2 linked regions of the Bombyx mori genome follow. The protein of the gene in region 1 purifies or fractionates together with the protein of each later gene. This does not show direct contact. Links are inferred from orthologs where the notes say so. Each region holds a gene or a part of one and is shown on either strand. Other genes may lie near its edges.

Region 1 (4,468 bases):
AATTATGTTTTGATTAAAAATTGGTCAACAATTTTGGGACAGTTTAAAGTCAAAGGAAATGGTGTTTTGATTGGTATGCTGAACTATGCCAACCTATGTGCTTAATGCTCTGTAAGATCAGTGACTGTTGCATTAGACACTTGGTAACATGGCCTGACTCATAATATGGTTAAATATGGGTAGGTGCTAAATTTTGTTATTGCCTTTCTAAGAGGAGCATGCGGCCCATCTGATGGTGAGTAGTCTCCCTCATGAGGTATAATATTAATAAGATGAAGTATGGAGTTAGTTCTAGTCTATATCACTACTTAGCACAATAAGTTCAAAGCTGTCAAGTTATCAAGTTATCAAGTTCAATGTCAAATTTCATAGCCATTATAGGTGCACTAGGCAAATTAAATTACCATTTAAATATTTTGCTGAAAAATCAGATATTCATATAAACTTAATACAAGTTTTATTGTAACACTGAGTTTAAGTTCAGAACAATCACATATTAAAATGAAAGTATGAATGTTTACAAACTGCATTAAAACAGGTTCCTTCAATTGAAAATTGGTAATCCTACAGATGATTCCTCATATAGCATAATAAGAAGTGGAGTATGTTTGTTTAAAAATAGCAAGACTTTCACCTCTCTTTGTGTAATAAGTTCTCCAGCATCGAACTGAGCAACAACTGCTTTCAGAACTTCTGAGGTAATAGATGGAAGTACTCTTTCATCATAATCAATACCAAGAATAGTGTAAATTCTTGGTAATTGATCAGGAACTGGTCTGAAGAGGATACGAAGTGTGATGTTAACATTTTGAAGATCTGAAATAAAATAAATGTTTTATTAAATTAACTACTGGTATTTTCATTATACAATGTAAACTCAAAAAAACAAATGGAAGTGGATTTATTAATTGAAGTTTTATTGAATAGAATATTTTTATTTGCTAAAATAAGAAGGTTATTTTTATCTAAAAGTATTTAAAATAGTTTGTAATTTATGTTGAGTTTATTACTCATTTTTGCTTCCTAAATTAGTTACCAATGATAATATCTTGTGAATTATTGTGCTGCACAATGTTTTAGCATGCATTAAAGTACAATACAATCTGCCTAACACCAGGGCATTTAAATTCTAATGAGTGTATTTGTAATATAAATGGATTTTTCATCTTTAATCTCAATTCATGTTTAATTTTTTACAATACAAGAGTATAGTCACATCATCCATATTGTTGCTTTATTATTCTTACAAATGTTGACATTCTGATGTTCTATCATTAAACATCACAGAAGTATATATTTTTTGGCTGATGTATCAATTCACTTGCCTTTGCTTTGCCATTTCATGAAAGTAAGTATGCAAACACTTCCATAATCAAAGAAAGCCATCAATCATTCATAAGTACATGTTACACATACAACTACTCATTTCACTTGCATTGGTACTGTTGTTCTACTTGTTTTTGGTGCAAAGAAGTCTTGCAATCTAATTTGAAGAATTATATAGCTTTTTTCACACTATAAATGGGACTTTAACCTTATCTCTGAAAGTGAATGGAGGCATACTTGCTAGGTTATGAGCTCTACCACTTAATACTAATAAAAATAACATAGCTTTGAAACCCTAGAACAGAAGTATTAAAGCCAATATGATGCATTATGCTAAAGTGAATACAGATTATAAAATTTTTGCATTTTAAGCATTATCTTACCTTTACTTCCAGTAATAGTAGGAACATTTCTGGGTCGAGACCTGATGTCAAATATAATTGGCCTCTGGACCCAAGGAATGAAGAAATGTGTGCCTTCACCAACAACTAGCTGCTTAACACCAGCAAATCGATCGAAGATAACAGCTCTGTGACCACCGTCGACTGGAAACAATTATCATATATTTATAAGGATCAGCATTTTTACATGTCGCATTTTCAGTGGTTTATCACAATGACAAATAATGTATTATTTATTTATATTACATAATCCTCTGTTTTGAAGAAATTTCTTAAAGATAAGTGTATTTTTTTATATAGATTTTGTTATCATCAATTAAGGATTTAATTAATTTTACTGGTGGTAGGTGAGTCCGCGCGGGTAGGTACCACCGCCATGACTATTTCTGTCGTGAAGCAGTAATGCGTTTCGGTTTGAAGGGCAGGGCAGCCGTTGTAACTATACTGAGACCTTAGAACGCATATCTCAAGGTTGGTGGCGCATTTACGTTGTAGATGTCTATGGGCTTCAGTAACCACTTAACACCAGGTGGGCTGTGAGCTCGTCCACCCATCTAAGCAATGACAAAAAAAATATAATATCAAAGTTTCTATCAAAGATACACAAGAGCTATTTTGGGGATCCAAGCAAATGCAACTTTTATGTTTAGCATACAATACAGCTAGCAAGCTTATGCAAGGTTATAACTGATATAGTTTAAGTAAAATTATTTACCATTATACAATGCAGAATTGACAACACCTCCAACCAATGCCACGCCTAGACCGACTTGCCCAATGCGATTGAAAAGCTGTGCAGCCATATCTGAAATGAATAATTTTTCCATTTTAATTTTTTAAAATCTGAACCATGAAAGTCACTAGGTTACTTGATTAGAAATAAGTGATCGTTTTTTTTAATAAGTCGCTTAGCACAGAATGCATGATTATGGACAAAACAAACATTAAAAAGTAAAAAATTTAATTATTACCTAATTTCACAAAATGTTACTTAACCTAAAATTTTTGGAAATATAATCTTTAATAATTGTTAATTTGAAAGTTTACCTTCAAAATTTTAATGTTTTAACTCTTATTTTATTGTAGACGTAACAACTAACATAAAAGATTGAAAAATTATAGTTTCAAACGGGAAGACAAAAATTGTGCCGCAACGAGAGAAACATAGATTATAACAATAATAGTGATGTTACATATGATATTCTGAAGTGTCGAATCAGGTAGACTAGAGTCCTTGTAATTGTTCATGAACTCGACTTAAAATATTCGAACACAGAGAAATTGAGTAAATTTCGTCGAGAAATATTTATATACAAGGTATTTATGGTTGTGGGATTCATGTTATAAGTATACAAGAATAGGTGCCACAACGCTGCCTATTTTGGCCGCGAAGCAGTCCAGCGTTCTGGTTTGAATGGTGAAATAGAATGATTAAGGGTGAGACCGATATATTAGTATTCATTAAGATATTCTTAATACAGCTTGTATTCGTGTGTCGGTAATCCGTCGCATTCTGATCTGCTAATATTCCGTATTCACTTTATTCATAACACTTAGCTAACTCACATCGGTCGGGTTGTATCTATCACTCGAAAATATACTGGCATACGCCGTACGATGCTAGTGGGAATTTTTAAATACATTACGTTTTAATGTTTGATCCTTCATTTCTTGATTCAACTAAAGATTCTACTCAAGGCAAAATAGTGCATTTTTACATTTATTAGAATAAAATCGGGGAGCTTTATTTTCATTATTTTAATTTTATTTTCTGTTCCCTTCGAATTAGTTGGTTTTAAAACGATGATTTGGAAAACGGAAGTAGGTAGTTGATATTGTTTACCAATTTCATAAATTAAATTATTTTTACACAAAACGTAATACGGCCAGAACTAAATTAAGTGTTTTACGTAATAAATTATGATGAAAATATATTTTTGCGGTGGTATTTAATTATCTTCTAAGAAATTCTCAAAATATAAATAAAAGTTTGATTTTTGAATCGAAATGACTTTCTAAACAAACGGTTCGTGGATTATAATATTATAACTGTTGTGTAGGTACCCACTAGCCACCTCAGTACCGTGTAAGAGGATTTTTTCAAAATCTGGTGAACTCATTACTGACCGACGTACCAGTCTTTCGGTAGAAAAAGTAAAAAAGCTGATGTTTTTATGCACCAATAAGAAATAAATAATATTACTAACTTGTTGTTTATATTAATATACAATGTTGACCAAATTCTGATTTAATAATAATATTCATTTTAATGTATATAATATTATTTGTAAAATATTTAGTATGAAGTCAAATTCCTAGATACAATATACTATTTATATTATTAATAACTAATTTATGTGTATTATCTATGATTATTAACTTATTTCACGAATACCGTATTAGGTTTAACTCGTTTACCCGTTTTATCGAAGTATATTAAGATATCAGGATATTCACGTATTAGTTAAGGTATTATAATATTACATAATGAATATATTAGTATTAGCTAATATTGACAAATATCGGTATTAACCATAGACCTATATAGGTTTCCTACTTCAGTGGTATTAACCCATCTTTGAGAATGATAGTAATGCCGGCCACTCACATGCGGGCAAATATTCGTACATTGTACGAATGTTTGCGCGCATGTGAAGGGCCGTCAAACATTCATTCGTAAACTTAGCAGCTGTGCAAATGGGTTCGCATACTCAATTTGCGAACCCGTTTGCGCTTCCTCC
Region 2 (4,309 bases), on another chromosome or scaffold:
TACATACTTTAGTTATATGTAAATAAATTATATTAAAAAATGTTGTGAATTTTCTTAAAAAATGCGAAGAAACTTTTTCCCCAACCTATTATTTCTAGACGCGGAGCAGTCATACGTTCCGATGTGACAAGTGTGACAACAGTGGTAGATTAAAATAATAATTGAAACATCCACTCCACATTAAGTCAGCTGGAATAGAACTGTAACTCGTATCCAGGGATTTGATCCATAGCTCCTACAAACAGATACCAATTTTGCCTATGAATATTTACCTAACACGTGTTTTAGAACAACTTTAAATTTGAAGGTACGCATCGTCTAATAAAAATCTAATACCATATCCCATATTTGCAATTTGCGTAATTACTGGCGTTAGAGGAGAGAGTACGGCTAGCCTGCACAAAGTCACTACCATCCTGACTATATGTCATCCTATCATACGAACATTAAAACATCGTCATTGGATATTAATTTCACTTTGTAAACTGACCAATGGACCTTAAAATTTCCGAAGAATTAGTGCACATTCTTATTTCCACAAACATATCTTTTAATTCTCGGATAGATTTCTCCAGATTATTTTTGTTCGACTGGGAATCGTAGTTCACTCTGACTGTAGCCACATCGTCGGCATCTCTAAATGAATAGCTGTGCTTTCTTATTGCTTGCATCAGATGATTCTCTTCGATTTTAAGTCTTTTAATTTTAGCAAGGATGGATTCTTCGTCTATGTCTTCAATGTCTTTTGTATCAGAATCCTTACTTTTTACACTGTTAGAAATTGTACATTGAATATTAGACATAGTATTTTTTATTTTCGATAAAAATATAACACGATTGTATCTAAGAAACCATGTTATTTAGTATTGATTCAACAGTCGTAAGTGGCACGAACCGAAGTTTAATTAAACATGGACAGATAGTACATGACATATAATGCCTTTTTAGGTATTTCCCTAATTTAGGTATTTACTATAGAAACAAGGAGATCAAACAAAGGATTTATTTTGAATCTCTTAATATTATGAACATAATTATTTCTATTATGGGCAGCGATTCCAAAAGCGAATCCAGACAAGCATCTATGATAATGTGTTTTAATTAAATAAAATATATTAAATTGTACGTAGTAATGTATGTACATACTTAGTGTTTTTAAAATTATTTCCCATCATCCAACTATCCATAGCCAACTGACAGACGTCAGGATCGCATTGTCTCGGCGCATAGATAATATAGACTTCATGTCTCGGCGGCCAGATGATAATATAGTAATTCTATTTTGTCAGGAAATTCTGAATTAGTTGTGGTTGTATAAATGCTCCTATTTTTGTCTGGGGAGACAAACAAACAAAAAATATAAATTTAGTCTGTAAATAGTGTGAATATAAACAACATACGAAATTTATGAAAGAACAATAAATACGTTGAAAATATTATTTTAAACTTCATTAAAAGACACTTCATAGAAAAAATATTTTCACAATGTTTACACAACATAGATTTTTAATAACTAAAGCCGCTTCATTTCGGGTAAGTAAAATTTTCGTAAATAAGAGACGTTTTTATAAATTTGAAAAAAATAACCTCTTGAAATTCTGTTGCAGAATCTTTTATTACCTGAATTACAAAACAATGCTCGTGTCTTGTATAACATCTCGCCAGTACGAAGTCGTTCTACAACTCCACTGAATACAATAATTATGTTTGTTCCCCAACAAGAGGTACAATGAAATTTTGATTGTTACTTATGAAAAAAAAACCACTTGTAGCAAATGTGTGTTGTGTTATAGTCCTAGGGTACCCCGCTGGTACATAGGGCCCTCACAAGTTGTCTCCACTTTACCCTGTCTTACGCTTGCTCCTTGACATCACGTAGCAAATAATAGCTTCAAATTCTTGCTATCCAACAAACGGTTCTGTGTAGAACAATTCTCTCCAGTTTATCCAATTAATATATTTTGTATGGTATGGTACAAATTTTACACTTTCGAATCTTTTAATCTAAAAATTTAGAAATTTTCTAAGCCTGTAATGAAGAATTTGAATTCTTAATTGTCATACAGCTTTGTGTATTTGCTAAAAATATTACTGATTAATGTTTAGTATAACTAAAGTATGATAACAAATTAATAAAAGCTTAAGAGTAATGATATAAAACAGTATTTTAAATTGGATACTTTAGCATTATCATAATCAAACTATTGAATGACATTATTCTTCTAATTGATGATGAAATTATTGTTAAAATTTAAAATGTATAAAAAAATTATAATTTCAGGCATGGATTGTAGAAAGAATGGGAAAATTTCATAGAATTTTGGACCCAGGATTGAATATTTTATGGCCGATAGTAGATAAAATAAAATATGTTCAAAGTTTGAAGGAAATAGCCATTGATGTTCCTAAACAGAGTGCAATTACATCTGACAATGTTACATTGAGCATTGATGGAGTACTTTATCTTAGAATTATTGATCCTTATTTAGGTGAGTAATATACCCTTTAGAAGTTTTTTAATATATTTTTGCTAAACAGACTAGTAGATTATTAATTAGTATTGAATAACACTAACCTAAGATCCATAAGGTTTGAATAAGTGTTTTTCATTCGCCCTGTCCCTTTAAAATAAGATGAATAAATAATGTAATATTGTAATGATGATATCTGTTTGCAAAATCATAGACTAAATATCAATAAACTGTTAAGGTAGCCTGAAAAGGTCATAAATACAATATTGTAAATAAAATACTAAAAATTTTTAATTTTCCAGGCATAAATAGCTGAATTTAAAATGTATAGAAAGCAAAAACGGAGACAAAAATATTAAAATAATTCTCATTTTTCCCTTCCAAATATTCTTATGCTTTATTTATATCATATTTAATTCAATTTACATTAGAATAATTTTATGATTCCATTTGTGGTTGAAATGTGTTGAAACCCATTTGACATTTTGACAAATCAAAATAAATAAAATTTGCATGCCATCAATTTTAGTATGTTATTTGATAAGTTGTAGAAATTGTCCTAACCTATTGGCATCGGCATCAATTACAGCTTCATATGGTGTAGAAGATCCTGAATTTGCAATTACACAGTTGGCGCAAACTACAATGCGATCAGAAATTGGGCAGATTTCTTTGGATAAAGTGTTCAGGGAGAGAGAATCTTTAAATGTATCTATAGTGCACGCCATTAACAAGGCCAGTGAAGCTTGGGGTATTACTTGTTTAAGATACGAAATACGTGAGTGTTTTTCTATTTTAAGAAAGAATTGTAATATACACTTCATAATGTTTTTACTTTGTATCATTATGCTCATCCATGCTCATCTATTATTTAACTAGAATTGTTTTTAAGCAATCAACTGTCCTATCAACATGTACATCTTAATATCTTCATAACCTTTCTGATAGAGTGTAATTCATTATAATAAATTCCCACTGATTTGAGTAAATATTTTTTTGTAGGTGATGTTAAACTACCAACGCGTGTACATGAAGCAATGCAAATGCAAGTAGAGGCGGAGAGACGGAAACGAGCCGCCATACTAGAGTCTGAGGGGGTTCGTGCAGCTGACATTAATGTTGCAGAAGGAAAACGCCAGTCTAGGATACTCGCTTCTGGTAAGTTTTATTTCTTTACGTCATATTATCAAAGGACAAATCCTATTTAGATTAGGTGCTTTTACTCTTCCTATACGTCTCCACTAAATATTTATTTTGAAATCTGTTTTGAATTGTATTTAAGTATTCAATTACCCAGCACACAAAGTATTTTACACCACTTGTCAAATAAGTGGGGCTATTTAATCTGTTTTCAAACATTCAATTAGCACTATAAATTAATTGTTCAGTAATGCTTTTATAGATGAGACTTCAAGATCGTTTAATGTTTAATATTAATTCACGAACAGAGGCAGAGAAGCAGGAGCAGATAAATAAAGCTGCGGGTGAAGCGCAAGCGATGCTCGCGGTGGCCGAGGCTCGCTCACGTGGGCTCAAACTGATTGCACACGCACTCGCCGACAGGGTTTGTATTAGTCAAATTAATTCTGAAATATATATTTGTTTATTACTTTATTCATTTAGGAAACCATACGGTGTATAAAAAAAAATTATAGTCTCTGTAATTAACTTATACAAGACCCACGAAATCCATACCTGGTGAAAGTACTCGAGAACTATGACAGAAGGATACGAAACACATTTTAAGGGGAAAAGGGTGTGGTCAAGAAATTGAAGGCATAAAAATACGATATCTGTCTCAACCTCTCGAGAAAAGTTATCTATAAAAAAACGGTCAA

Evidence for each region.
Region 2: the proteins of prohibitin protein WPH (region 1) and stomatin-like protein 2, mitochondrial purify together in Homo sapiens (affinity purification with western blotting; 3 studies listed by BioGRID, with this or other methods). This does not show direct contact. The link is inferred for Bombyx mori from reciprocal best matches to the Homo sapiens genes PHB1 and STOML2.

The regions. Positions count from the first base shown.
Region 1 is NC_085110.1:5,298,482-5,302,949, reverse strand, and holds the start of prohibitin protein WPH, read right to left. Parts: upstream 2,886-4,468; 5' UTR 2,775-2,885; intron 2,533-2,774; 5' UTR 2,531-2,532; coding exon 2,443-2,530; intron 1,872-2,442; coding exon 1,710-1,871; intron 817-1,709; coding exon 635-816; intron 1-634.
Region 2 is NC_085125.1:7,768,398-7,772,706, forward strand, and holds the start of stomatin-like protein 2, mitochondrial, read left to right. Parts: upstream 1-1,189; 5' UTR 1,190-1,485; coding exon 1,486-1,533; intron 1,534-1,607; coding exon 1,608-1,724; intron 1,725-2,281; coding exon 2,282-2,489; intron 2,490-3,060; coding exon 3,061-3,249; intron 3,250-3,473; coding exon 3,474-3,629; intron 3,630-3,919; coding exon 3,920-4,035; intron 4,036-4,309. Other genes in the region: coiled-coil domain-containing protein 112, read right to left, coding at 491-803. UniProt on the Homo sapiens protein: Mitochondrial protein that probably regulates the biogenesis and the activity of mitochondria.